Notamacropus eugenii: one gene and its partners. The protein of the gene in region 3 interacts with the protein of the main gene of each other region in a pairwise test. Links are inferred from orthologs where the notes say so. Each region holds a gene or a part of one and is shown on either strand. Other genes may lie near its edges. The genes, in order: PPL, TMSB10, ALAS1 and POLDIP2.

What was found.
Region 1: the proteins of ALAS1 (region 3) and PPL interact in binary tests that used the Homo sapiens proteins (3 or more experiments, as listed by UniProt). The two-hybrid records come from large-scale screens. The link is inferred for Notamacropus eugenii from reciprocal best matches to the Homo sapiens genes ALAS1 and PPL.
Region 2: the proteins of ALAS1 (region 3) and TMSB10 interact in binary tests that used the Homo sapiens proteins (3 or more experiments, as listed by UniProt). The two-hybrid records come from large-scale screens. The link is inferred for Notamacropus eugenii from reciprocal best matches to the Homo sapiens genes ALAS1 and TMSB10.
Region 4: the proteins of ALAS1 (region 3) and POLDIP2 interact in binary tests that used the Homo sapiens proteins (3 or more experiments, as listed by UniProt). The two-hybrid records come from large-scale screens. The link is inferred for Notamacropus eugenii from reciprocal best matches to the Homo sapiens genes ALAS1 and POLDIP2.

Annotation. Positions count from the first base shown.
Region 1 is NC_092872.1:82,288,732-82,296,337, forward strand, and holds the start of PPL (periplakin), read right to left. Parts: upstream 3,021-7,606; 5' UTR 2,765-3,020; coding exon 2,703-2,764; intron 2,581-2,702; exon of another isoform or gene 2,453-2,580; intron 1-2,452. UniProt on the Homo sapiens protein: Component of the cornified envelope of keratinocytes. May link the cornified envelope to desmosomes and intermediate filaments. May act as a localization signal in PKB/AKT-mediated signaling.
Region 2 is NC_092872.1:727,696,363-727,702,949, reverse strand, and holds TMSB10 (thymosin beta-10), read left to right. Parts: upstream 1-4,938; 5' UTR 4,939-5,049; intron 5,050-5,164; exon of another isoform or gene 5,165-5,447; 5' UTR 5,448-5,465; coding exon 5,466-5,565; intron 5,566-5,773; coding exon 5,774-5,808; 3' UTR 5,809-6,075; downstream 6,076-6,587. UniProt on the Homo sapiens protein: Plays an important role in the organization of the cytoskeleton. Binds to and sequesters actin monomers (G actin) and therefore inhibits actin polymerization.
Region 3 is NC_092872.1:2,462,245-2,470,091, reverse strand, and holds the start of ALAS1 (5-aminolevulinate synthase, non-specific, mitochondrial), read left to right. Parts: upstream 1-4,840; 5' UTR 4,841-4,992; intron 4,993-6,288; 5' UTR 6,289-6,309; coding exon 6,310-6,508; intron 6,509-7,847.
Region 4 is NC_092873.1:35,677,355-35,685,202, reverse strand, and holds the start of POLDIP2 (polymerase delta-interacting protein 2), read left to right. Parts: upstream 1-4,828; 5' UTR 4,829-4,879; coding exon 4,880-5,028; intron 5,029-7,064; coding exon 7,065-7,146; intron 7,147-7,848. Other genes in the region: VMA12 (transmembrane protein 199), read right to left, coding at 1,227-1,322, 1,635-1,747, 1,962-2,004, 3,257-3,346, 3,758-3,831, 4,443-4,659. UniProt on the Homo sapiens protein: Involved in DNA damage tolerance by regulating translesion synthesis (TLS) of templates carrying DNA damage lesions such as 8oxoG and abasic sites.

The DNA of each region.
Region 1 (7,606 bases), about 80 Mb from region 3:
GGCTAGTATAGTGGTAGGCATGTAAGTAATGACTTAATAAGTACTAGCTGAATTGAATTTCTTTTAGTTTCTGGGCCTCAGAGTTCTCTGTATGAAGAGCCTAGAGATCTTGGAATGATTAAAAAAACAGCCCTATTTTGGTAGACATCTCCCCCTCCAATCACCTACAACTATGATTCTATGAATAAATTCTTGATTGGTTAATTAAAAGAAAACTCTCTACACAGGAAACTTCTAGATAGAGTGGGCACTCCATAGGAAATTTTTTGATCGACCAATTGAAGAGCATCCATACAGCCCTTTGCTCCGTCCTCTGGATCTTCTTCCTTTCCAATTGCTAAAGGCCTGGGATGAAGCTATTACTTTCCACAGAGAATACTTTTCTTGGAATTAGAACCAAGAGCCTTTCCCTTTAAATGTGCCAAAAGCACCTACCTTGGTGCCCTGGGGAGAGGCCCCACATCCACCTGCTCATTTATTTTGAGGAGGGGAGTATGATTTACTCAGCCTTTGCATAACCCAGTAGGGAAGGGGTGGGGCAGTTGGATGGTATTCATTATGTATTCCATTCCCCCATCTCTGTGCCATCTGTTTGCCCCTCCCTCCTACCCTTATCCCCCCTTCCCTCTCCCCACCAGCAGAGAAGAATTCTGACTTCAAACAAGTCAGGAAAGGGCATTTCTTTCCACTTGCTTTGCCCAGAGAACCAGAGCCAGATTTATTTCCCATTTCCCTTAGTGTTTTTACAAGTGACCAGGATCTTATTTTTTTTTTCTACAGACTTAAGCTTTAAGGTGATGGGAAATAAGGGGGAGAGATAGTAAAATAGGATTTGGGCTACCCAGGGTTTTCCTAGGAGCAGGGGTGGCATACAGGAAAGCAAAACAAGGCAAGGTGAAGTGGATTTTAAAGGAATTGTGGCAGAGAATGCAGGAGTCCCTTGAGAGAGAAGAGCCTTCTGAGGCTGGCACAGAGCATCTGATTGTGCAACAATGTGGAGAAAGGCAATGAGGAGCTGACCCTGGTCTGGTGTTGATAGCTGGGTCAGGATACAGCCAGCTGAAAAGAGAATTGTCCTTTCCTTTTCTACTGCCTAGCCCAGACTCTGTAATCTTTTGGGAATGGGGACACAGGAGAGCTGAGACCTTGCAGGGAAAAGAAAATGGAATAAACGTTATTTCTCTAGAAAAAGTCAAGGCATGAGATTATCAGCGCTCTTTCCTTTGAAAAATTACTTTGTATTACTTTGTATGTATATTTTTTCTTTTTTCTTTATTTTTTGTATTCTCCAATCCCAGCACAGCTTCTAGTACATGGGTGCTCAAAAAAAAAAATAAAAAACATGTAGAATAGAATTGATGAAGAATAACTTTGGAAAATGATTTATATATAAAGGGGAATTCTGTGACAACCCTCCACCCCATCCCTGTTTAAAATCTCATTCATAAAGATGTCCAAATACCTGCCGGATGACCCAAAACAGCATCAAATCCTGGACAAGGACTCAGGGCCCTAGGAACAAACCTGTTTAGGGAATCTGAAACCCAAGTTCTCACTGAACTCTCCTGGGAAAGTCCTAGTTTTCACACAGGTCCCTCATGGGGAAAAGGGCAGTGAGAATGGGATAGGTTGGATGCACAGACTGAAGAGAAAGGAGGTAAGAAAAGTTATATACATAGGGGATGAAAACTGTTATCAGAGAGAGGGTCAGTGAGGTGGACTATTTTTAGATTACTGACATTTTAGAACACTGATACCCCTTCCTATCTGGTAGAGAGTTAATGGAGTTAGTGCAAAGATCCCACTTGGAGTCAGGACACTTCCTTTGGAATCCAAGTCTAACGCGACTGTTTTAATCTCCCTGAGTCTTGACTTAGCCCATCTGCGAAGTAGGCATAACAATGCCTGCGGCACCTGCCTCAGGGCACTGTGGTTTGGAAAGACCCCCATTAAACTCTACAAATTCGAATTATTATTCCATCAGTGCCAGGCATTCCTTCCGACCCCAAGCTCTCAAAGTACCCACTTTGGCAAGAAGCTGGAGTAGCTTTTCCTAGTGAGAATCCGAGGACCCCAGGAGTCCTTCCTATGCTGCCTGCCCTTTGGAGGCCAGAGGAAGTCCAGAGTTCCACCCCGCTGCCATCTCCGTCTCATCCTCCCCTCCCCAAGCTGGCTCTGCCTCTGTGTCCGAACTCTATCTCGATGAGGGTTTTCCCAAACCGGTTATTAAGTGAGCACATTAGTACTTATCAAACCAACGTGGGCTGTTGCTTTAATCCAAACACATCAAAACATGCTATTCTCCTTTCTCAGGCAGCTCTTCCAACCTGAGCTAATGAGGTGCCTGCCAGTTTCGAGGCTGGGGTGGAGGTGTACGTGGGGGGGGAGTCTGGAGCCACACCCCTGCCAGGACTGAGCACCGACTCCGTAAAGGTCAGCCCCAAAGACAGGGTGGTGCTTTGTGGTTCTGGCCCCCGACATCCTCCCATGCCCGAAGGTTCAGCCTCCCCTCCAGCAGGACCCTCCGGCTGCACTGGCGGCCGCGGCTCCCGCAGCAGGTGGCTGGACGTCATTCGGCAGGTAGCCTCGCGTCCCCTCTCCCTGCTCAGCCGAATCCCTTCCCCTCCCACCCTCCAGCCAGCTTAGAGCTTCTCCTTGGGGCAAAGGAGCCCATAGGTGCCAACCCGCCGCCGCTTCCTCACCTCCTGGTCTGCACGGTGGGGCTGTATTTGCCTTTGTTTTTCTTCCTGAACAGCGAGTTCATTCTGCCCTCGGTGTGTGCACAGCTCCTGCCCGCCGGTGTGCGCCTGTGTTTGAAGGACTGGGGGTCTGGAGCGGGGCAGTTGCGCAGGGAGGGTGAGCGGGAGCCCGGGCAGGTGTGAGAGCGGCTGTCAGGAGAGCCCCCAACTGCAGCCCGCAGCTCTAGCTCGGGGTCACTACTCCAGGGGGGCGGGGTTGCACTGCCGGGTTGGGTCTAGCTCCAGAGGCTGTCTGTCCCTCTCCCTTTCCTGGGAGAAGGTGGTGCTTACCTTCACGTCACCCAGGCGGGTGGAGCTTCCCACCCTGCTCCCCTCCCTCTCCTTTTTACCCACACTCAGGGTGTGAGGCGGCACCCAGGACCAGTGCGCACATGCATAGGGCGCGCGTGAGAATCACTTTTGTTTCCTTTTACATAGGCACCCAATGTTTAAAAGGGAGATGGTCGTGAAAGCGTGGCACTGGCATGGATGAGGTTAGAGCAGACGGGCATCAGCTGCAAGTTCAGCTGCAAACTCTGTGGAAAGTGCCAACCAAGCTCCCTCCCTTTGGCCCGGAGTCTTGGCTGTGACCCAGCTCTGCCCCACAGACTACAGATGCTGAGGGGGTTTCCGGGTCTGGCAGTAATGAAACCCCTCATAGCAAGACTCCAAAGCAGGGCTTCCTTAATTTGGGCGCACCCAGGCAGATTTTTGTCCCAGGGACAGCAAACCCAGAATACGGGTTAGTAGGCACATATAACATGAAGGATCCTGCAGGGCCAGGTTTCTGTACGCTGGAAATTAAAGAACACACCCATGACATATTACCACTTCCAGTCCTTGTGAACTTTTCAGGTTCAAGAAATTTGAGTTGCAAGGACTAATGTGGAAATATGTTTAATATGCTTGTATATCTATAGGCTATATCAGATTGCATGCTGTCTTGGGGAAAGAGAAGGTAAGGGAGGGGGAGAGAATTTAGAACTCAAAACCTTATAAAAGTGAATATTAAAAACTAAAAATAAATAAATACATTTAAAAAAAGAAATTGAGTTGTAAGCATGATAGAAAGAACTTGTCAACATCTAAAAGCAAATTTATTAAAGTTTAAGACAGCTGCATAATACAATCATAAAGCATGCTCTTATTTTAGATCTTGTTTCATATAAAAATATCCGCTATAGATAAAAATGTCTATCTGGTTTTCTGGTTAGCAGAGTAAATCCTGGATCATCTATGAGAAGAAAATAATTAGTTTTTCCATGTCATTCATAGACTATTTCTATCATGCTTACACCTGATGTATTCAAGTTTTAAAACTGTAATAAAGAGTTAAGGAAGATCTTGTGTTGTACAGTTAGTAAGACAGCACTTTGGAATGAGAAATTACATAGAGGGACATCAAGACTATCGTCAGGCAAATGTATGCCTGGGAAAAAAAATAGGCATGGGACATAATGAGAGTGAGGGGTGACCAGTGTACTCCGTTCATATTTGTGCAATGTCAAGAAATCTCAGCACATTGGGCAGATCCCCTGTGGGGAATTTACGATAGGACAGGTAAGAGTTGCCCAGGACTGTCAGACATTGATGAGTTGTGATCTGCATTGTGAGACAGAATTGATGAAGGCACAGATTCACTGAACATCAGAAAAGATGAACTACTTTTGTGTTAAGTGTATGGGTGGCACAGCTACCCCTGGAGCCACTACAAGTGGAATCCCTGCTAAAAGTAGATCTCCCTCCCTTCCTTCTCTCCTCTCTTCCTTCTCTCTGTGCCTAGCAGACAGATTATTCTGGAATTAAGGATCATTTATTTTTCTGGCCTATGAGATTTCTGCTGTCTAGTGTGAAAGGTCCCCCCACTCTCTAGGAGGCCTAGACTGTTCCACCTAAACAACCAATTATAGAGATTAGCAAAGGTTTTCTGGAAGGCCTGGATTCAGGAAGAACTGAGCTCAAGTCTAGGCTCAGATTAGCTACATGACCTTGAGCAAGTCATTTAACCTCTGTCTGCCTCAGTTTCCTCATTCATAAAATTGGGATAGTAATAATAATGCCTACCTCAAAAGACTGGTGTGAGAATCAAATGATGTAAGATTGGTAAAGCACTTAGCACAGTGCCTGGCACATAGTAGGGGCTATGTAAATACTTATTCCCCTTTTGTTGGGATGATGCATTTTGAGCCTTGGTCGTATTCACCCATTCCTTCTACATCCATCGCTCCACTCCTCTATCCTTGAAGCATCTTTTAACAATCCAGACCTGGCATATCAGAACTTGGCTGCTAGCAGTGCTTAGTTGGCTGGTTCCCATGTCTGCTGAGACAGGTGGCAGGATGTTCCAGCCAAGACTTCTGTCAATGAGGTTTAGTCCATGCCTAATGCTGTCCATCTCAGCCTTGAAGATCAATAACTGCTCAGGGAGTGCTCCCTAGAGGCATGATTCTTCCAACTCTAAGTTGTACAGTACACACAACCAACTGAAATTCAACTAACATTCAGTTAGTGACCACTGTATGCAAAACACTGAGAAAAACCCTGCCCTTGACCTGAACAAAAGTTTCCAGTCTAGCAGGGAGAGCTTGCTTCTGGGCAGAGGGGTAGAAGGAAGTTCTGTGCAAGAGATAGCAGCATTTGAACTTGTTTTTTTTTTAAAAGATTACAATAATTACAATAATATTGCAAGATTGCAATAGTCAGAGATGGAAGATAGCCACTCATGGATGATGGGAGGAACAGGATCAAAGGATGTAGGAAAGTGTGTGTTCGTCCTTTGTTGCCAAAGAAGACCGTGCCATCAGAGAAATAATGACATGACTTGCACTTGACTTTGTTTTGAGTGAGGGAGGGCTGTGCAGGTCACCAGCCTCACTTCTCCTCCAGAGCCATCAGAATCCAGTGAGCAGATATTCATCAGGATGACTGGAGATGACCCAGGATGAGGCAGTTGGGTTAAGTGACTTGCCCAAGGTCACACAACTAGTGAGTGTCAAGTGTCAGGGATGAGATTTGAACTCAGGTCCTCCTGACTCCTGAACTGGTGCTCTATCCACTGCTCCACCTAGCTGCCCCTTAGGAAAGTTTAGGATGTATTAGGAGAACTGTGAATACTACTTTGGCTAAAACACAAAATGGGTGAAAAGGGGGAGTGGGAAAGTGGGGAATCAAAGGTCATCAGGCTGGTAAAGTGTCATCAGGATTGAAGGATTGCAACTGTAGACTTGTACCCATCAGGTCAAGCTAGGAACTGGGAATTCAAGGGAAAGAAGTTATAGGGATTCAGGAAATGATAGTTGACATTTATATAGTGTTTCACATGCATTGTTGCATGCGATCCTCACAACTTTATGATGTGGGTACTACAGGTATTCTCCTCTCCATTTTACAGATGAGGAAATTGAAACTCAGATGTGAAATTACTTGATCATGTTCAAACAGCTAGCAAGTGGCAGAGCCAAGATACTGACCCAGGTTTCACCTGACTCCATGTCTCATACACCATCAGCTACACCATATTGCTTTTCATATCATAATTCTTAGGAGAGGATTTGGGATGGCAAAAGGAAAGAAGAAATGTGTGTAAGATAGATGGATCAATAGGTAGAACCAAGTCCTGTATGGAATTCAGTAAGGGAAACGGTGGGAGTAAGCATTTACTAAACACCTACTCTGTGCGAGGTACTCTCCTAAGTGCTTTGTAAAGATTATCTCATTTGATCCTCAAAACAATCTTGGGAGGTAGGTGCTATTATAAGCCCAATTTTACAGTTGGGGAAACTGAGGCAGCCAGTTGTTTGTGTGTGTGTGTGTGTATGTGTGTGACTTCCCCAGAGTGACATAGCTAGTAAGTGTGTGAGGCTGGATTTGAACTCAGGTCTTTCTGATTCTAGGTCTAGTGGTCAACAAAACTCAAACTATCAAAATTCTCATTTTCTCCGGACCCTTGAATTATCTTCCTCCACTCAGGGAACTCTTCTTAGTGTCTACACCTAGAGGAATGACAAGTGGTAGTTAACTTTAGGGGGAGCACTTTGGCATATCAACCTGGCTATGCATCTGTCTTCATGTTCTAGGTCTTTTGTTAACAAGAGGGTCTCAAACTGACCTCAGTGGTATATAGCATGGTCGTCCAAGGTTGGAGAATAGTTGTAGATTCTTGTTTTAAAACTCTCTTACAGATTCCCTGGTGATAGGGCCTCCCTGTCAGTGGCTGAGAAACTGAGGGATCCATACTAGTCCCCTTTTTCACCCCATGGTTTCTCAGGCCCCAAGCAGCCTTGGGGAGAAATCCAGATGACTCAGCTGGACTGGGGCCAGACTAGGCTAGCCCAATTAGCAGATTCAGGGAGGAATATGAATTGCTGTTCATGAGGGGACTGGTTCTCCACCCTTTAGAGGTCTAGGAGCAGAGGAGTATGTGCACCTATATGTATGTGTGTGTGTGTGTTTATCAGTGTTCACACAGTTTACATTTCTGTGTCTGTATGTTTGCATCTGGATATAGTGATGGTTATCTGAAATATCTTATTTATTTAAGTAACTATATATATATGAGCTCAGTTTGCTGTAATGAATAGAGCTGACCCAACAGTCAAGAAGACCTGGGTTTAAATCCAGCCTATAACATAAATTGTGTGACCTTGGACAAGTCACTTAACCTCTTAATGCCCCCAGGCAAATCCTTAAGAGGATTATGAGTTTCAGTTCTAGAGATAACCAGCTGGTAGTGGGAGTTTCCTTACCTGGAGCTGCCCATTCCAGTGAAATCACAGGTCAGGTCCAAATAAGCAAAACCATCTATCTGTGTATAGTGGAGCCTTCCCAGAATCATGGGGTGGGAAAGATTGCCGCTGGAAGCCCACAGA
Region 2 (6,587 bases), about 730 Mb from region 3:
TATACACCTAAAGAGATCAAAGGAAAATGAGAGGGATTCATGAGTACAAAAAATTTGTAGGACCTCTTTTTGTAATAGTAAAGAACAGGAAACTAAACGGGATGCCTGAACAAATTACATTAATGGAATGGAATGAATGAGATGGGTTCATTGAAATCTAGGAAGACTTGTATGAACTGATGGAGAATGAAGTGAGGAGAACCAGGAGAATCATTTATACAGTAAAAACAACACTACAAAGACAAACAACTTTGAAAAACTTAAGAATTCTGCTTGATATAATGACTCATCATGATTCCAAAACACTGATGATGAAACATACTATTTAGGTGATAGATACAAGAAATAAAAAGAAACATACATTTTTGTACTTGGCCAATGAAGAAATATATTTTGCTTGTCTATGCATATCTGTTAAGAGATTTGTTCTTCTTTTCTTTTTTCAATGGGGTAAGGTGTGGGAGGGACAGATAAATGCTTGTTAATTGAAAATTAGATTATATATACATATATGTGTGTGTGTATATATATATATATATATATATATATATATATACACAGATATATAGTGTCTATGTATGTTTCACTATCAGCCTCACTTCTCTGAGGAGGGGTCCTAGTAAAGGATAATCTTATTTTTGTTTTTAATTTACCTAGTATAATTTACTATTTACCTTGAGCGAGTAATTTAGTGCCTATTTTTAAAGTCAGGTTAGGAAGTAAAACAGGATAGCAGAGGAAAATTTGGCTATAAGTTAAACAAGAGCAAAATTTTCACAATACATTTGGGAAAAATAACATGAGTCCTAAAGGGAACTCATTAAAAGAGAAGAGATGGGTGATTATGCATATTATATCCAAGATAGAAAATAGACAATGAAGTATCCAGAGGGGTTCAGTTTTCTGGTAATTGGGTAGAGAGGAAGTCAGAAAAGTACAATAATTGTCTCACACAAATAATAAGCAAAGGGTTTTTGACTGATGATTCAGTTTAAAATGAAGCTTAAAGCTGGGAGAATTATGTGCGAAGAACTGAGCTCTTTACAAGAAAGGCACTAGACAAATCTGACTTAATAGTATTTGCAACCATATTTGCATCATTTTTCCCTATTCTATTTCTTCTCTAGTTTTTTGGCCAAGGTAATGTCCCTATTTTTTTTTCTTACCTAAAAATATTTGGAGTCTTAATTCCTGAGTTCAGACAATCAACAAACATTTTATTAAGCATCTAATACACGCCAAGCACATCAAATCCTGTTACAGCTATTCAGTTCCTTGGCTGACACTATCTGGGGCTCAAGCTCCTCCCATCTAAAATGAAGGCAGTGGAGGTGGCCAGGCTGACTTCTCCTGGGATTTACTATTTGGGGGTTGAGCAGATTTCTGTGACTGCATATAGACGAAAGAGGAAACAAGAAGCACGAGCAGGAATAGTTGATGTGACAGAAATAGTCCCTGAAGTCGTGTGCATTCCTCTAATCCAGACACAGACAATGCCAGTTCAGCTCACACCAGGACATTCTGGGCAGGCAGCCTCCTGAGGACAGGCGAAAGAGTCTGAAAAATACAAGACTGAGAGGGATCAAGCATGCCTTCAATATACCAGACTCCTAGAGCTAGAGAGAATCTATTGAAACTTGAAAGTGACAAGATCAAAGGAAACTTACTTTCATTGGAAAAGTGGGTAATTCAGGTGAATTGTATCCAGCTGTGGTTCAGCACAGATTGTCCCCTTACCACTCAATGAACCTTCCTTTGTAACCAAAAAACAAAAAACAAAAAAGCTTTGTCTCTCTCTCCCTCCCACCTCTGTGTTCCCTTCCCTACCTCTCCTCCTCCCCCCACCCTGTCTCTCTTTCTCTCTCACCCCCTCCCTTCTCTATCTTTCCCTCCCTCCCTCTCCCTCTCCTCCCCCTATCTGTCTGGCTCCCTCTTTCTCTGTCTGTCTCTCTCCAGCACTTAGCACAAAGTCTTGCACTCGATTTGTGCTTAATAAATGTTAGTGATGAACAAGGAGTTTTCTGATGAAGTAATCAAAACAATTTATTTATAGTCATATGAAAGAAAATGCTTGAAATCATTACTGATTAGAGAAATGCAAATTAAAACAATTTTGAGATAGCATTTTACACCTATCAGATTGGCTAAAATGATAGAAGGGGGAAATGACAAATGTTGGAAGTGATGTGGAAAAATCAGCACCTTAATTCATTGTTAGTGGATCTGTGAGCAGATCCAGCCATTTTGGAGAGAGATTTGGAATTATGCCTGAAGAGTTATCAAACTGCCTTTACCCTTTGACCCAGTAAAACCACTATTAGGTCTGTTTCCCAAGATGATTAGGGTAAAATGGAAAAGAAGCTACATGTTCTAAAATATTTATAGAAACTCTCTTTGTGATGGCAAAGAACTGGAAATTGAGGGGATGCCCGTCAAATGGGGAATGGATAAACAAATTGTGGTACATGTTCATGATGGAATATTACTCTGCTATAACAACTAATGAGTTCAACGATTTTAGAAACCATGGTGAGACCTCCATAGAATAATAAAAAGTGAAATGAGCAGACGAAGAGAACACTGTATACAGTAACAGCAGTATTGTTTTAAGAACAACTTTGAGCACCCAGGTCACTCTGACTATAATAAATACCCAAGTTAACCACAGAGATCCTATGAAGAAAGATACTGTTTGAATCCAGAAGAAGAACTGATATATGTATATGTATTAAGTACATGTATATGTGTATATATGTATATGTACATATATTTATATACACATGTATATACACTTATACACGCAGATTTGTGTCTAGTGGTAGCCATCTCAAAATTTGGGGAGAGGGGGAGGGCTTAAAAAGTCACATGATAACTTGTACACATGAAAGGAATAGCAAATTGTACAGGATGGATCTGCAATTTCAGTTGCAATCCTCTGTTTTTCTATCTACTTTGTTATGGAAATGCTTGTTTTATTTCTTAAGTTCAGAATAAAATAAATAAATTTAAGTAAAAAAAACAATAAAAATATTAGTGGCATTGAATTCACTGGTTGTGTCTAAGGCCCTAGGGATAAAAAGACTGTCTGTCTCTCTGTATGCATGCATGCATACATATATGTATATCTACATACATATATGCATATGTGTCTTTTATACATGTATATATGTGTTATATTTGTGCGTGCGTGTGTGTGTGTGTGTGTGTGTGTGCATCTTAAAGGTCCTGCCCCAATGGTAGACCTAAAAGGAACTACTGACCAGGGGCAGGTGCATCCCCCGAAATGACCCCTGGTACACTCAGATCTGGTTGGGAGAGGTTTTTTGAAACCTCTTAAGTTGTTGTCAAGGATAGCCGTGATTCCCACATTAGAGGAACTGGCTCGAGGTCATACACGTAGTAAACATAAAGTGAGGAATTGGAAAACAGGTCCTTGACTTCCAGAACCCGGGCTCTTTCCGCCCCCGCCCCATGTTACCGCGTCTTTTTCTTTCTGAATAAATTTTATCCTGTTGCCGGACAGTTTTCCTTCTGCTTTCCTTCAGTCATGGTTCTTCAGACCGGGTAGGGTAAGGTTGGGGGGACAAACCCGGGGCAAGGAACTGAAATCCGTTTACATGTCTCATCATGGTTCTGACTGTGCTTCTTCTTTCCCTGTGAGACGCAGAGAAAACGCTACCAGACTAGAGAAATGAATCTGGAAGTAAAAACCAGAATAAGAAACCAGGAGAAGCGCAGCAGAAATGAAGACCCACCCAGTTTAGGGGTGGGGTGTCGGGGAGCTGCAGAAAGCCTTCCGCACCTCTGGTCTTCATCCGTACCCCTTCTCCACAGTGACTTTGCAGAAGCTAACCGAAAGCATCGTAACAGAATGCATAATTTTCTCCGCGAGGATCATTTAAAAGGGGGAGAGTTAAGAAACGGTGGGAGTTTTAAATTTTGTTTGATGGTTCATTTTAAAATAAAACTTCAGTATAACAGAGAAGTTTCTGTTAAGGAACTTGAGAAAGCTGGCGTCCTTAATTTGTAACTGCAATGTGGATGGATGGATGGATGTGAGGAACTAGTGTAGGGTGTTTGTGTGTGTGTGTGTGTAATATGTATTATATACACACATGTATATATGCCCGCGTCTCTATGTGTGTGTTTATAAATGTATATGCATGGAAATACACAAATATATATTACACATGTGTGCATATACGGATATACACCTATTCATAGATGCACGTTTACCTCATGACCCCATCTCATTGGGGAATGGGAGCTGAGCCAGATCTGCTTATAAAAAAAAAAGTCTCCCGGGAAAAGCCGGGAGGCCAGACTTTTCCGCCCTTGAGGGAAAGAGATTGCACCGTGTGCCCACGGTGCATGGAAGAAGTCCATCCGCCAGGTCTAGGGGGCTCGGGGCAGAAGGTTCTGGATGCCGTGCGGGGCCGGAGCAGCAGCAGCCACCGCAGGTGGGACTGCGGTGATGGAGCATCCAATCCTGATCCCGCCCGCACGAGCGCGGGAATCAGGATGCACGCCCGCCGGCTGGGCTTGAACCCGGGAGAAACAAAGGTCTGGAGGGCACCAGCAGAGAGCAGGCTGGGCCAGAACTTGGCGGAAGGGAGGGATGGCCCGGGAGAGGGTCTCCTCTACAGTCTTGCAGACAGGGCCTTCCAAAAAGAAAACAGAAAGACCAGTCGGGAGGGAGACAACCCTGGGAACGGGCTCGAGTGTGTCTGGGACGTGCTCGCGGCGCCAGGAAGGAGTGTGCATGTGTGTGTGCGTGCATGGCGGTGCGTGTGTGTGTGCGTCCCCGGCGGTGTGTGCATGCGTTCGCACACGCCTCCGGCCACCGCCCCTAGCTTGCAGGCGCTGACCGACCGCATGCTCCCGGGTGGGCGGTGGCCGGCGAGGCGGTGCTCTCCCGAGAGGGGGCGGACCGGGGGCGGGGCAGACCTCCGGAGGCGGAGGGCTATATAAGGCGCGGGGCGGGCCGCGCTCTTTTGTCTCTGGCTGCAGCCGCAGGAGCAGGAGGCATTGGGAGCGACTGCGGGCGAGGTGAGCTCTCGGGCCGGGCGGGGGGCGACGGGGCGGGGTGCGGCTCGTGGGGATCTCTCGCGTGGCGGGCCGACGTAGAGACCGACGGACGGACGGACACTGCCGACCGGAGCGCGCCCCTCCCTCCTTGCCCCGCGCGTGGACCAGAGCAGGAACCGCCGCCGGGCTGTGCTGGGCTGCGGGCCGGGCCGGCAGCTGGGGCGACGGCGGCAGCGCCGGACGTGGAGCCTTCGGGCTTGTGGCGGCGGCGGCGGCGCTGGGAGATCCTGACCGTGAGCGGCTGCGGCGCCGCTTTCGGACTGGGAGACAAGCCCCGGACGGGCGGTACGGGGTGGGCGTCCGGCGAGCGCGGGGCAGGGCGACTCTGGCCGGGTCAGCCCCGTCCGTTTGACCCGCAGGCCTCTGGGGATCCGAACATGGCAGACAAGCCCGACATGGGGGAGATCGCGAGCTTCGACAAGGCCAAGCTGAAAAAGACGGAGACGCAGGAGAAGAACACTCTGCCCACCAAAGAGAGTGAGTGCGACCGCCCCGGAGCCCCTGGACCACCCCCAGCCCACCCTCGCCGTGGCCCACCCTGGCTGGGAGAAACCCCCCGGGCGGGCGGCGTCCCCGGGCTCCCCCAAGCCCTCTTCCTCTCGGGCTCCCCCCCGCCCACCTCCCCGTGTGCCCGCCCTCCCTCCTCTGGGATCCCTGGGCTACAATGTATCTTCTGGTCCTGCAGCAATTGAGCAAGAGAAGCGGAGTGAAATTTCTTAGATCCTGGAGAGACATGCACCTTGAAGGGACTCCCCACCCCCCACCCCGGTCCTGGTTTCGAGGGAGCATAGATAGCCACCTGCATTATCCACATTTAAAGAAGAGATGCGCTGGGAAAGAGGGCCAGCGACGTGGGCAGTCACCCCTCTACGGACGGTTCTTTACTGGACTTTACAATCTCGAACTGCCACATCCTGACCAGATTGCCCTGCGATATTATAGAAAGTTATTTGTATGACTGATGAAAATAAAGATTACATTGTGAAATGCTTGATGTGGTCTCAGTCACTCCCTAGGTTGTATGCTCTTGATGGGCATGCAACACCCCTCCTACCTTGCTGCCAACAAGGCAGACCTAGCCCAATGCCGAAAGAATGCCTGTGGCAAATGGCTGCCGCCTGTAGGACTCGAGGCACAGGTGATTTTAGAAATGGAATTCCTTTTGTAACAAAATGATAGAAAAAATGAGGCTGTAGCCCATCACAATTACTCCCTATAACTAACTTGGAGGTGTATGTTTCCACCCTGAGCCTCCCGGTTGATAAGGCCGTCCTGGAATTTGGTCAAAAAGGTACTGCCCTTGGAGCAGGCTTTGGGTCTCGTTCTCTCTCTCTCTCTCTCTCCCTCCCCCCCCCTCTCTCTCCCCCTCTCTCTCTCTCCCTCTCTCCCTCTCCCCCCCCCCAGGGAGGCGAACATTTAAGCCAAATTAAAATTCTGTAGTTTCACAAAATAAATGATGTGAAAATATACCCAATATTCTCGATCCTAAGATATTTCAT
Region 3 (7,847 bases):
AAGGTGCAAACCTAGACTCAGGCTTTGCAGATAAATAGATTCTGGGCTCCCTCTCCTTCCAGCCCACGCTCAGACCAGCAGGTCAATTTCTCCCCTATACATCTTGGTTCTTGGCTAGAGTGGAATCAAACTGTTAAAGCAATTGCCGTAAAACATTCCCCTGAACTGGACAACACTCTCCTCTACTACCTTAGCCCCTGGGGAGAGTGGGTAAAGTGAGAGCTACAAAACCTTCCTTCCACTGAGTTTACTTCTGCATGTCCCATAGGAGCCATCGTGGCATTCAGAACATGGTTTCTCTGTTACCAGGTCAATCGATCCATTGCTGGCCTGGGTCAAGAAGCTGTGCTGACTCACTGAACTTGGCTGCTGTGGCTATGTCAACTTCCTGTGAAATCCCATCCCTGAACCTCTGGTTTATCTCTTGACCTTTTGAGGTTCACAAAACCATTCTATCTCAGATAATCATTCACCTAGGACTAGTGGAGAATAAACACAACAGCTTTAGAAGAAACAAAAGTACCGTATGTTTGAGGACACATGGTGACCAGGTACAGGCAGGACTTCTCCACCCAGAGATTTGTAGCATTTTTTTCCCCTCCTCCTTTGAAAGCTGCCAAGGAGAGAGAAACAGAGCAGCCAATTAAAAGGATTTCATCGTTATGAAGCAAGACAAAAGAAATAGTCACAGAATGCTTGCATATTCTCTGAAGAGGAGGGCAGGTCCATCCATCATGCATACCTGAGAGAAGTCTCACCAGGCCTCAGTGACGGTTGGCCACAGGCAAAGGACATTGTGCATGCTTGAAGGGCTTTTTATTGGCTAGTTATACATTATAAATATATGTGTGTATGTATATAAAATACATGTATATGTGTATATGCATATGTATGTATATGTGTATATATGTGTGTATGCACACACATGTACAAGCACATTTTGATGCTTTTTGTCTGTACAGAACGTTAAACCTTTCTAGTGACAAAGAAAAACAAATAAAAACATGTAATGAATAAAAAACTCTAATGTAGATGTTCCATTCGACAACATACACAATAATAGATCCTAGCAGTGTCACTGTCTGCTCTCACCACTCTCTGCAGTAAAGGAGAAAATACGTTTCATTATCTCTTCTCTGAGACCTTCACTGGTTTTTCCATTAGTCAGAGTTCAATTTCTTTTAGTGATCTTTTCATTTACATTATTACGATCATTGTACATATTATTTTCTTGGTTTTGTTTATTTTACTTCACATCAATTTATACAAATCTTTCCTGTTTATCTAGATTCCATGTGTCATTTCTAATTGCACGATAATATTCCATTACATTCACAGATCACATTTTTTATTCATTCCCCCATAAATGGATATGCATTTTGTTTCCAGGCCTTTGCCACTACAAAAAAAAAGTGCTGCTCTAATTGTTTTGGTACATACTTTGTCCTTTTGTTCTTGGCATCCTTGGGGCTTGGCCGGTAGTGGAATAACTGGGTCAAAGAACACGGACAATTTAGTTCCTTTTATTGCAAAATTCCATAGTTAGACTACTCTACTCCACCAAAAGTTCATCTACAAGCAGGTCTACCCACAGAACTTCTGACATTAACTGGATTTTTCAGTTATCTTTGCCAATTTACATGGTGTAAGGTGAAACCTCAAGAGCTATTTCAATTTGCATTTCTCTATCAGTAATTTGAAGCATATTTTCATTGGGTCTTTATATTTTGCAATTCTTTTGAAAACTTCCTTTGACCACTTATCAACTGGGGAATGGCTCTTGGTTTTATCTATGTGCATTTCCTGTACCCAGGTCATTTCTGCAAGATCTTCTGAAATCAAAGGATAACATTTGAGGTCTTGCATGATGACTTGCCCTATTTAAAGTCGTTGGCTGCTCCCTCACTATCTACTTTTTCCTCCTTTGGGCTCCAGTTTTTCACTAATATGACAGTTCTCCTTGTCTTGGTTTAAAGAATGCTCTCTATGTTTGAGAAAACAGAAATAATTAGGTGTTGTGTACATGTCTGCTTTCTTTGAATCCGTTATTATTGCTTCATCTGTCCCAGAACTGCCTATCTATCCTCTGCTTCTTCCTCTTTTTGCCTGCAAGACCACTTTTTAAAAGTCCTTCCCTTTGCCTTTAACATCTTTGGCTGGGGCAGCTAGGTGGTGCAGTGGATAGAGCAGGAGTCAGGAGGACCTAAGTTCAAATCTCACCTCAGACACTTGACACGCACTAGCTGTGTGAGCTTGGGCAAGTCACTTAACCAAATTGCCTCATCCTGAGCCATCTCCAGTCATCCTGATGAATATCAGGTCACTGGGCCCAGATGGCTCTGGAGGAGAAGGGAGGCTGGTGACTTGCACAGCCCTCCCTCACTCAAAACAAAGTCAAGTGCGAGTCATGTCATCATTTCTCTGATGGCATGGTCTTCTTCGGCAATGAAGGATGAACATACGCACACAGAACATCTTTAGCAAGCTTGGGCTCATCCTTATGATGCCATCCTTACTGGACTAGCTCCAGTATTTTTCTGTATTTGCTTTCACTGTTGTATACCCTCTTTTCCATCTTTTTTTCCATGTCCTTTAAAACCCTCAACTCAATGGATGCAGTTACATTTGCCTCTTTAGGCATTAGAGTCATTTGATTTATATCATCAGGATTTCATTTAAGAATCTCTCATCCTATCCAAGATGTTCTTAGCATCATGTCATTGTGCAGAATGAAAATGTGGAAGGGACTTTATAATACAGAACATAAAATGTTAGAATTGGAAGGAACCTTAGGATGTAGAATGTCAGAACTGGAAGAGACCTTAGAGATCATCCTTTATCTTACAAATGGGGAAACCGAGGTTCAACCTTGCTCTAGGTTACACTGTGACAAAGCTGAAACTTGAACGCTGGTCTCTTAATTCCAGGCTCAGGAATTTTGTACACGTTGCCCTCCATGGAAATGGATCTTTCATGTCCTCGGTGTGGGTACACCCTACAATACTACAGATTTCAACATCTCCAAAGGTTACACAACCTTTATCCACAGGCTTCCTATCAATCTTCCACAAGAGGATCCACTTGATGTTCTGGGAGTTTCTCCAGGTCTCTTGACTACCTTTTTAATAATAACTCCCATTTCTATGGTGCTCTGTAAAGCCCTGTGAGGTAGATCGTGCAATTATAATTATCCCCATTTTATGGAAGAGGAAAGTCTAGTTCAGGATCCAGCTAAGTGCCATTGTTAAGTCTCAGACTCAAGTTTCCTACAGTGGATAGAATGCTAGGACTGAAGTCAGGAAGATTCATCTTCCTGAGTTCAAATCTGGCCTCAGACACTTTCTACCTGGATGATTCTGGGCAAGTCACTTGAACCTGTTTGTCTCCATTTCTTCATCTGTAAAGTGAGCTAGAGAAGGAAATGGCCAACCACTCCAATATCTCTGCCAAGAAACCTCCAAACGGAGTCAGGAAGAGTTGAACACAACTGAAAACGACTGAACAAGGACAACAGACAAGGTTTCTGAGTCCCACCCCACTCTCTCTAGAGTGTTTTGGACATGGCTGGTGCCTAATAAAAGTAGGCTGAATAATATTTTAAGGTTAAAGGTCCATAGTCACTTCATTTTACCTTATCTTTTCTCATAGCTTTTTAATATATAACTCTCTCCAATCTCTCTTCATTCTAATGCCTTTCCTCTGTTAATTATTTTCTATTTATCCCGTCTACAATCGATAGTGTACATATTTGTTTGCGTGTTGTCTCTCTCCCGTTAGACTATAAGCCCCTTGAGGGCAGGGACTACCTTCTGCCTCTTTTGGCACTCCTAGCACCTAGCGAAGTGCCTGGCCCATGAAAGGCACTTCATAAAGGCTTATTAACGGACTTGGGCAGCTAGGTGGTGCAGTGGATAGAGCCCCAGTGCAGGGGGCAGGAGGACCTGAGTTCAGATCTCCCCTCAGACACTTGACACTCACTAGCTGTGTGACCTTGGACAAGTCACTTAACCCCAACTGCCTCATCCTGGGTCATCTCCAGTCATCCCGATGAATGTCTGGTCACTGGATCCAGATGGCTCTGGAGGAGAAATGAGGCTGGTGACCTGCACAGCCCTCCCTCACTCAAAACAAAGTCAAGAGCAAGCCACGTCATCACTCCTCTGACGTCATCACTCCTCTGACGTCATCGCTCCTCTGGCGTCATCGCTCCTCTGACGTCATCGCTCCTCTGGCGTCATCGCTCCTCTGACGTCATTGCTCCTCTGACGTCACGGCCTTCGGCACCGAGGGACGAGCATGCGCACTAACTGCCTGATCAGAGGGAGGCCTGTCTACGCCAGCCCCTCTGCTCACCCAGTTATCCTCCCCATATATTTCCCTTCTCTCAACCTTAGTTTCCCCATCTGTAAAATCTAATTCAATTGTTCAGTTCCACGGCCTTCTCCGTGCCACTCTCCAAAACCCCGTGGAGGACCCTGTCCGGAGGGAAGGACGGACGTGGCGCTCAGCATTCGTCCGAGGCAGGGACAGCGAAGGGGCCGCGAGGGGGAACAGGCTGTGAGGCGACCCCAGGCCCCTAGGGGGCTCTGGCCTGGCCCCGCGGGTTGGGAGCCGAAGGGTTAAATCCTCCAGCCTCGTTCCCACCCGGCCTCGCGGAGCGCTGCGAGCGCGTTCAGGAGAGGGGGGAGGGCGAGCGCTGGACGGGGCACGTGACGCCGTGAGCGGGCACGTGACGCCGTGAGCGGCGGGGGCTGAATTGCGTCTGCGCCGGAAGGAGTGCGTAAGGAGGGGGCCGAGTAGTGCGACGGGAAGAAAAAAAAAAAAAAAAAAGGCCGAGCTGCGCCTGCGCGCTGGGCCTTCGCTCTCTATAACTTGAGAGGCTTGGGCGGCCTTAAACGCCTTCTCCAGCCAGAAAGCAGAATTGTGACCTTAGTCGCTCCGGCCAGCAGGTCCCAGCCTCGCCGTAGCCGCCACCTCCTCGGTTCTGTTCAGGTGAGGGCCGGAGCGACCTCCCCTCGGAGCCTGCCCCGCCACAGAACTGCCCCCCGATCCTCCCTCCTTCGGACCGTGCTCAGAGCCCCCGATTATCCGTGTTCCCCTGCCGCCCTTCGCCGAGATTTCCCCTTATCCGTGGTCCCTGCCCTCCCCAGGACCCTCGATTATCCGTATTCTACCGCCTCCCCCAGACCCTGCCCAGGACCCCCTTTTATCCGTGTTCCGCTGCTTATTCTCCCCCCTCCCCGTGATCCTGCCCTTCCCCCACTCCCTCTGGTTATCCGTGTCCCACCGCCCTCCCCCACGATAATGCCCCCCCAGCACCACCTTGGATCGCCCCAGAGCTCCCGTGGTCCAGCTTCCCTGCCCCAGGGCTCTCACTGGTCCCTGCGCCCCCTCTCCTCTCCTCTCCCCTCCCCCTTTAAGGCCCGCTCTGACCCGCCCCTTCATCCCCTTCCTCGCTAGTGCCCCCTCCCCTCCTCGGGTTTCCTCCCTTGGGGTGACACTGGAGCGGCATCACTTGGGCCGGGCCTTTCCTCCAGGACCCCCTGGTCTTCTCTTCCCATCAGCCCTGTGCCCCCACTCTTGGATCTCCCCTCCCTGGGACTCCCACTTAACCCCACCCCAACCCCCCTCTGCCCTCATCCCCAGACCTTGGCCCCCCATAGATGGCCCATTTATTTCCCATCCCATTCCCAAGACTCCCAGTTACTGTCTTTCATGGGTTCCACCTAGGGAACCCAGAATGATGCCCCCCACTGCTCGTGGGCCAGGGGGAGGCAATGCCATTCCCAACCACATTGGCCTGGCAGGCCCTGGGGGCACCAGGAAAGCCCCTTCCGCAAGGACTGCAGCCCGGGCTCTTCCCTTAGGGGCTGTGGGGGCGCCGTGAGAGGACCTTCTCCCTATCAGTAATGGTCCAGCCATTCTGTGGTCTTTCTGTCCCCCCAGCCATTTCTGAAAGTACCAGACTTTGCAAAGAGTTTCTTGATTTATGCTTGTCCATTTACCATCGGGGCTGATCGTGTGCCTTGCTAGGCTGTGCCAGAGTGGGACAGCCTCAGACTTGTTACATTTGAACACTTTCCTGCAACATAGTTTCTCTTTATATGTCAGTGCTGCTCAGTTCTAGGTTGCAGTGGATACCTGGTCCTTTGGGCTTGGAAGGAAAGGTCCTAGGGGATGGTCTAACATTATTCCAAGCTTATTGATACCTGTCGGTGGCAACGGCGCTGGTGGTGGTGGTGGTGGTGGTGGTGGAGGAAGTGGTATTCACAGCCAATGGTTTTACAGGATCCTGTCCTTTCCCTCAAAATGGAGACCATTGTTCGTCGCTGCCCATTCTTGTCAAGAGTACCCCAAACCTTTCTCCAGAAGGCTGGCAAATCTCTGCTCTTCTACGCCCAGAATTGCCCCAAAATGATGGAATTTGGATCCAAACCTGCTTCTCGGGCTATGACCAGTTCACCAACTCACTTCCAGCAAGTTAAGGAAACACCTCCAGCCAGTGAGAGTGAGTATTCGTTTATTTATTTCATCATCATGGAACTATTACTGTGTCCCCATCTTTGACTAAACCCAGAGCAGTTTTAACGTTTCCCTTGTTACATGCTGTGCTTTTTATTCATAATCTTTAGGCATTTGTGTCTTAGAAGACGCTTCATTATCGTGGGACACTAAATGCTAAGTTTTAATGTTCAATTACAACATTTTTTTTACATTTACCAAGTTTGTCGTCATTTAGCTTTGTAAATTGCAGTTCTGAGTGTGAAGTTTCTTTCATGATTTTTATTTGTTCCCCCCCCTGTTTCATCCACCTTCGTTTCATTTTATTTCTGAAAAAGGAAAAGCAACTGTAATTTTTATATTGGCCTGGCAGTTGTTAGGAGAGGTTGGGAACCTCTTTTCAGGTCCATTTCTAGTCCCCTAAAGTCTATACATTCCAGGGGTTTCCTAGTTGTATACCCACAGTGAGGACTTTTATGTGGAATCCTTTAGGGGGAAAATGTGATAATGTTTGTAGACTGTTCTTTTTTTTTAATTTGCCATCAGTTACTGTAGTCATCTGTGCTGACATAAACTTGAAATTCCTTCCTAGCCTGAAGTTGGGAAAGAAAAACAATAGTGAAACACTTTCCACAAACTGTAGGAAAGGCGAGGCTGTGACTCATTGGGGTGTTCCAGCATCAGTGAGGAAGAACATTTCTAGAAGGAAAGGTGATCTAATTTGTTCAAGGGGAAAGGGAGGTCATTCACATTAGAAACACAGTTACCAGCCAACTGTTTGAAGGCAGCGTGTTCCTTCAGAGCACTGAAATGAGAACATAGGTAGTGCTTGTGAACTATAAAACTTGTTTATAAATGTTATTTCCTGAATGTGAATTTCAGTTGAACTTCATTTAGTAAAAATCTTAGGATCTTTTTTGTTCTGTTTCTTGGTTAGTTCTATGAAGCAGTTTATCCTTTCAATGAGACCAGAGGTCTCTTTGTGCAGATCAGGTTCTAAGGTGATAATTTCTTATATCAACAGGAAGGAAACTTTGAAAAAGTTTTAATTACTGAAGTGGATATACCCCCAAGTGAGCTCTGTTAAACACTTTTGGACAAGATCAAGATTGGAAATAATCCAAGTCACAAACTCATGATTGCTTAAGATTAATTACTTTGAATTTATATTCAGGAACGAAATGAAAACAAAAGGCTATTGGGATATATCACTTAATCAGTTCCTGAAGTGATTCAAATGAATTTTTAACCTTTCATAAGAGTGTGGTCTCATAAATGACTAGTTCACTACTAGTAGACGGGAGGGCGGGTGATTCTGACTCACTTCCATCTTTTTTTTTTTTTTT
Region 4 (7,848 bases), on a different chromosome or scaffold from region 3:
TTTGACGTGTCCCTAAAAACCACAGTGCAATGCAAAAATCTTGCAATAAAAAACAAAGTTTGTGGGAGAACGGGGTTAGGACAACAGTCGATAATGTCACCAGGGACACATTTAAAAAAGATAGCAACCTAACAAAAATGGTAGCAGTTCTATACATATTAAATGGTCAAGAAATACATAAACTGTACAAAAAACAGCCATGGCCCCTGCAGCCTCAGCTGATGCTCTGCCAGAGTCCCAGTTCCCACAGGGCCCAGGTTGCCAGAGTCCAGCTGCTTTGGGGGGGAGGGTGGTTTCAGTGGATGGCAACTCCTAGGCTAGGGATGGGTGCTGGCCAGAAAGGAAGGTGGGGGAAGAAGTACACAGATCAGCCCTTGGCAGCTCATAGCTCCCACTGCACCATAAGACATAGGGCACTTCACCTTGAAAAAGACCAGGAGTTTGCTTGTGGAACTGGGTGTTGGAACGAACGGTGGATGCTTATGAGTTATCATGAACAGGTGTAGTTTTCTGTCAGATGAAACGGTACGTAAGCAAACACAAAATCTGAGTCATGCTCAAATTGTTCCCAAATATATCAATCACAGTGGAACAGATTCACAGTTTTCAAAACAAGCATCATAGCAGAAGTGACTGTATGTTCTTTGGAGTCAGAGGAATGACTTATGTGGTTAAAAATAGACATATAGGTTTTACTACCCCTTCCTCTCCATTCTTGTATCAGAGGACCTGGAGCTTTGAATGCAGGAAGCCTCAAAGACTCCGAAGGGAGGGAAACATACACAAAATCACCAAGATGGATGCCAGGAAGAGCAAAAAAAATCTTAAGGTAAACAGGCAGAAACTGAAATAGACAAAATTCCTTTGCAGGGTCTGGCTAGAGGCTGCACGGGTAGGTTTTTCCTGCCTCAGTATTCTCTACTGTTCCTCTTTGAGTCCAAATGGGCACCAGCTTGGAGTGGGCAGTGACCTCAGTCCTGTGGTGTTCAATGCAGGTGGCTGGGTTTGAGGGGCACGGGCAGGGATGAGGCAGTGGGTGTGGTAGCAGCCCCAGTCCTCCTCCTTGGACCTTAACCCAAGGCCACATGCAGAGGAGTGTCTGCTGAGTGATGTGAAGGGCCAAGGTTCTGAAGTAGGCTGGCAGCTGTGTGGAAGAAAAGACAGAGCAAAGCCCCCCATCCCAGGATTCATGGAACATCCTTGGTACCCAAGTGGGGTACCAAGCATTAAAGTTCTCCAAGTTCTCCTTCCATGGCCCGAACCATGACGTAGAGCTCAGCCAGACCCACCACAGAGGCCACGATTACTGCTGCCAGCACCCTCTGGGAGAGAGAAACAGTGGGATGGAGATAGTTGCCTGCTTTTGGGCCCTACAAAGTCTCTTGCTCTTTCCTTCCTCCAGCCCCCCAGAAAAAAGTTTAAGTTCTGGCGCCTTCCCGTGTCTGGGTAGGTCACATAGGGACGCCATGAGGGGACCAAGTTTCTCTGGGGATGATGGCTCACCCTTGTATTCTATATGCATATTTATGTTTTGTTCCCTCGAACGCTTAGCTGCCGCCCTTCTGCTACCTTCTAGAAGCATACCCCATGTCCTCAGTCTGGTAGACTACTCCTCTAGCCCAATGCCCCCTTACCGCAGCCATTTCCGAGAAGATGTACTGACTTCCAAGGTAGGTGCAGGTAAAAGCTGCTGCCACAGTGACGATGAAGTTAAAGATGGAGATGACCACTGCCTTCACTGACCTCACTGGGAGCCAAAGTGAGATGGGACAGAGAGCTCAGTCATATCCTGGGGAGTCCTCTTCTCTGCACTGCAGGAAGCAGGCGTGTGCACACATATATAAGCATGCGAGCCCCCTCCCCGCTCTAACTAAGGATCTCAGACAACTCAGGGGGCTGGTGCAGGGAAGGATCATAGTGGTGACGAACTTCCTGTCCCACAGCTTCCCAGAGTGTCTCACCTTGGCAACCAAAGTCAGCTAGCATCCCATTGCGCCTTGTGGCCTGAGAAGAAGAAAAGGCAGATGGTATGCCATGATACAGAAGTGTTCAGTTAAGATTAGCACAGGGCACTCCTCACATTCTTCCTCGTTGCCAATTTTAACTTTTTCTGCCTAAGCTGCAACGCAGGGGTAAGTTACAGATCTCCAATCATCAACACTGAGAGAATTGGCGTTTGTAGACTACACAGTCTGCCCCAGGTTTTGCCTCCAAAGATTTAAGTGAACAGGACTTCTTTTTTCTGCTCGAACAAGCTGGGGGCTTTCTCTAATGGGCCATGACCAAAATATCAGTTGACTTGGTCACTTGCTAGCTAGGAGATCTGTGGGGCAGTTGGACAAAGAAGAGTGAGGAGATATGAATTCTAACCTCAGCTCTGACACTAGCTGTGAAGACACTCAGTCTCTCTGGGCTTTAGCTTCTTCATCTACAAAATGGGGTAATAATACTTGTATAATGGATATGTTAAAGAATCTGAAGAAAGTACTTGGTAAACTTTCTACTAGAACGTAAGATCCTTGATTTAAAAAAAAAAAATGTTTCACCAGTACCCAACCCATAGCAATGCCCAGCACACAGCAAATGGAGTCTGTTATTCAACCGTAGCTTGATCTTAAATTTTCTGAGCTTGTCTTCTCATCTGTAAAATGGGATACCATATTCTCTGCTTATTTTAACAGAGTTGTTATAAGGAACCAAAAAAGATGTGTGAAAAGCTGTTAGAAAAGTATGGCATGGTTTATTCTCTAAATAGAGCCCTCTGGTGCCTAGAACAGACCTCCAGGGGCCAAAAAGAAACCCATCTCTCCTGTGCCACATCCTTCTACAATGAAACCATTAGGAGCATCGATACACTCTGTATTTCCATGGTTCCATGCAACTTAACCTCCTTTCTGTTGGCCTTTGTTGAGTATGAACCATCAACTTACTAGTTGAATTTTTTAATCCATCCATCCACTGTCCTGAGTGAAGCTAAGGAATACCTATTGTTTGAGGAAGGTAAGATTTAATGTTGAAATGGCTTTGTTTTAATTTCAGAGCCATAACGGAACTTGTCTTTAAACAAAGTTTAACCATGTATTTTTTGTTTTTCTTTCCCATCAGATTAGGAAATCTTTGAATGAAGAAACTTTCCCTTCCCAAGGAAGACCCTAGAGGCAGAAATCATGCTTCCTTCCTCTATAGTTCTCTTCCTGATTAAAAAAAAAAAAAAAGCCTTTGTACATAGTCTGAGGCATGAACTGTCAGCCCTCACCTGGCAAGAAACATTTCTGGTGATCCGATTGTACTCCTCGTTGGCCAGCTGCACTTTGATCCGCTCCAGGCGGGCGACCAGCTCTGGATTCTGAGGCAGGACAACATGGGAAGTGTGAACCCCCTGGCCCACCCAAAGTCTCCCCCTGCCTCACTAGCTCTCATCAAGGTTCTAGATCTAAGGCTTTTGATCCTGAAGAAACTGAGCAGAATTGGGACAGCACAAAGTAAAGGTGGGATGCGCAGATGTGGAGCATCCACCCCAGATATGCACACCGACTGAGCACTCCTAGCTCCTACTGGTCTGATCAGCCACAGTCGGACACACTGAAACTTGGCTTTACCATGGGGATGTCATTTTGGAAGATCTAACGTCATGAGGCTGCAGCAGCTCAGGCTCTCTAGGTCTAGGCTTTTCTGTACCTAAGAGGGGGTCGATGCTACAGGTGAATACAAGCACCCACTGGGCCAAGGCTCCCCGCCCCCATCACCTGTTACCTACCCTGGGGGGTCTCACCACCTCTGGGAGATGGATCTCACTGCCTTCCAGGAGTTCGTGAAGGAAGGGAGGGGACCCTAGGAAAAGAAGGTTGGTACGGTGATTCCCACCCTGTCTGCCGGGTGGGGGCCGCTCACTTTGACCCCCGAATGGGATTTGTCAATGAGAAATGCCTGACCCACGAGTGACTCCTGCTGCGCAGGCGGGGCATCACGACTGACTTGGGAGTAATTTCCGTGACTGCTGGGGGAAGAGGCCTGGAAAAGGGGGAAGGTAAAGCACGATCCCTCGGGTTACTTTCACGAGTGGGCACAGACGAGCGGGCCCCAAAGGGCTAACGATCGCCGAGTCATTTAAATCTCCTTTCCCTCGATGTTCGCAGGAGCCAAGCGTGAAAGAGGAGCGGCGGCCTGCTGGGGTCCGGACCCGGAAGTGTTGGGGATCCCTCAGGACGGCCCCCAAAGAGGAGACTGACATCTGGGGCGGCAAGGGGGCGGGACTGGAGTCTCAGTCCGCCCCTTCCTCTGAGGCTGACCCAGGTTTCAGACGCGCGTGACTCGCGCGGGGTCACCCCGGCCGGCAGCGAGGCCAACGGGGGCTGCCATCCGAACGCGGTGCCTCGACGTGTGCGGCTCGGGGGCACGCGGCGAGCCCCTCTCCCCTCCCACCGCCCGGAGTTCGCTCTCACCCTGCTCCCGGAGGTGTTCGTGCAGCTCTCGGAGCAGGCGGAAGGGCACCAGGGGCCGGGGGTCTTCGCCCTCGCCCTCGCCCTCGGCGGCCTTCTTCCTCCTCAGAGCCGCCTCCAGCCGCGCCCGCAGCTCCCGGGGCAGGCGCTCCGCCTCCAGCTCCCCTCCGGCGCTCAGGGCCCGTCGCAGCCGCTCCCCGGCGCGCACGGAGGACGCCATGTTGGGTCGGGAGGTGTCAGGTGACCGGAGGCGGGGCCGCCGAGAACTTCCGGGCGAGTCCTAGAGCGACCTCTCCGGGCGGGGCGGGGCGCGGCGCGCGGGGCCTTGTGGGCCGGGGGCGGGGCGCGGCGCGGCGGAGGCGGCACGCAGGGCCGCGCGTCGGCGTCCGCGTCTGTGACCGTGAGCGAGTCCGCGCGTCCGCGGCGGCCCAGGCGCCGACATGGCGGGCCGCGTAGCCCGGCGGGCCCTAGCCGTGGGCGGCCGCTGCTGCTGCTGGTGGCCCCGGCAGCTGGCGGGGGCCCGGGCGCTGCGGCCCCTCGCGACCTTGCCCCCGGCCGCGGCCACGGCGCGGAGACACCTCTCGTCGCGGTGAGGCGGGGGGCGGGCCCGGGGGGCCGGGCCTGGGGCGGGGGAGGCGGGCGAGGAGAGCGGAAGCGCCGGGGGGCGGGGGCCGGGCCTGCGTCCGGCCCAGTTGGGACTCCCGCCCTGCCAGGACGGCGCGCCTGGCTTCGCTGCCCAGAACCCTAGAAAGGGCCGCCTTGGGGTTCCGAGAGGCTGATTGATTTGTCCAAAGTCCCCCAGCTCGTGTGTGTGTGTCTGTCTGTCTGTCTGTGTGTGTGTTTGCAAACCAGCACCAAACGGTCACACAACAAGCATTTATTAAGCGCCCCCTGGGGAGCAGGCCCTGGGCAAAGTGTTGGGGTACCGAAGACAGCTCTGCCCTTGGGGGGCTCCCTATCCTATGGGGGAGGCAGGATGAGCAACAACCGCTTGGGATGAGAGGAGGTAACACGCGGAGGGGGCGGCACCGTGCCTGGGCTCCCGTTCAGCCCCTAAGCAGACATTAAGCACCTGTTGTATGCCGGGCGCCCCTGCCTGCAGAGAGCTTCCAGTCCGAGGGAGAGGACAGGCTGTAACTAGGCCCTTAGAAGAGTCAGGGGAGAGGGGATTGGCATGGAGCCTTGAAGGAAGAAGGGAGAGAGAGGCAGAGCTGAGGGGCCAGCGCCCTGACGGAGGGTGGGGGGAGGGGGGGAAGATGGGAAGGGTGAGGTTAGGAGGAGTTTGATGGGGGGGATAGGGAGCCCCAGCAGGGCATGGAGCCTGAGCAGGGCAGCAAGTGAGGGAGCCTGGAGGAAGCTGTGACCCCTGGCCAGCGGGCTGGGGGGAGGGCGGGATGCCTGGAGACTCTGGTTTCTGTTTTGTGTCTCTATTTGTCCTTAGCTCATGGTAGGCGGGTCGCATGGGAGCTCCCTGGGCACAGGACCAGTTCATTTTTTGTCCTAGAATCCTCAGTGCTGAGCCTGTAGCGGGTGCTCGGTGAATTCTTGTTGAATTGTGGGGTAGGGGAAAGGGGGGGTCCCCAAGAAGCCTCTATTCAGGTTTGTGGTTAGCAGGGCCCTTGTGCTACTCATCTGCCAGGGGCATTTGGACTCAGGGGTCCAAACCTGCAGGTGACTTGTAGAGCAGTGAGGCATCTGAGACCCTTGAGTCCAGCTCCCTAATTTTACAGACGAGAATACCCAGGCCCAGGAGGGATATATGATTTGCTTAAGGTCACACAGTGGGCACCTGAAGCCACTTCCCCCCCAGCCCCAAAGCTGTGCCATGCTGCCTTCTCCTTTGGCCATAATTTCTAGGCTTAATTCTTAGGCCTCAACATCCTAGGTCTCCTGTGCTTGAGCATGGACTTCCCTGAGGTTTAAAGTCTGACCAGAGGTCACAGAAGGACTCCCAGGCTTCCTTGTGGCTCCTGCTGGAGACTCGAGGGGGAAAGGGGGCCGGTCTCATCTGCCGTGTCTTTGCAGGGGAAGGTGTGGTGGGCACATCTGATGAAGAAGCCTGGAAGGTTCAGGGGGAATCAGAGAGGCATCCCCAAAGCACGTGGCATTGCAGGGAGTCTCCCCAGCTCCGACTAGAAACTGAGAGGGTTTCACTTATTGTAGTGCCTAGAATTAGGGATGAGCCCCAAGAACATGTGGACTGTCCTGATTGGAACCTTTAGAAGCCCTTGCTTGTCTCTCAAATAAAAGGGAGGGAGGAGGGAAGAAACAGTTACAGAGCACCTACTGTGTACCAGTCACGGTACACATCCTTCTGATAACCTGGTGAAGTAGGTGCTGTTGGTATCTCTATTTTACAATCGAAATTGAGACAGGCAGGTGAAGCAACTTGTACAGTCCCATAAGGGTCTGAGGTTGAATTTGAATTCAGATGTTCCTGACTCCAGCTCAGACTTTACTGCCCCCTAGTGGCCTCAAAACAAAGCACCTGCCATGTGGTGATGGGTCGAGTATCCTCAGACTTTCCCCACGTAGCTTGCTCTGTCCCTTAAGCTCAGTAGCTCGGTCATTTCTCCTGATGGATGGAGTGCCCCAAACCATTTACTTCAGTGTTCTTCTCTTCAGAAACCGACCAGAGGGCAAAGTGTTGGAAACAGTTGGCGTATTTGAGGTGCCAAAGCAGAATGGGAAATATGAGACAGGCCAGGTGAGTGTGGGGAAGCCAGGGTGGTGGGGGTTGCCCTTTCTAGTCCCTGGCATTGGCCACTTGTCTTAAGGGCAACGAGTGCAGTGCTTGAGCCCCTCAGCTTTGGGGGTGGTCCCACTGTGCTGCACATGAACCGGGGCTGACTTGTGGGGTCAGATCAGCGGAGTGTGTGATAATGATGAGCACTTTTGTCGAATCATTTGAGTTGTATTGGCAAAGATACTGGAAGGGTTTGCCATTTCCTTCCAGCCCATTTTACAGATGAGGAAATGAGACCAACAGGGCAAAGTGACTTGCTCAGGGTCACACAACTAGTGAGTGTCAGAGTCTGGATTTGAACTCAGGTTTTCAGGGCTCCAGGCCTGGCGCTCTGCCCTCTGGGCCACTTAGCTGCCTGAATAATGGTAACAATAGCTAACATTTGTCTGGTGCTCTGAGTGCTTTATGTATACGTGACTATTCTCACAGCAGCTCTCAGGGCCAGGTGTTGCTCTTATCCCCATTTTACAGATGAGGAAATAGACTTGTTCAGGGGTCCTCACTTAAGTGTATGGAGGGATGATTTGGTGGGGGACTGAGATGCAAGTGGAAGAAGGCCCTTTGAATCTGCTCAGGAGGGGAGTGAGCTCAGGGCTCATAGCAGCAAGCACTTTGCCACTTGGCTTGGAAGGGCACAGTTACCCCAAGCCAGGCATCTCTTCT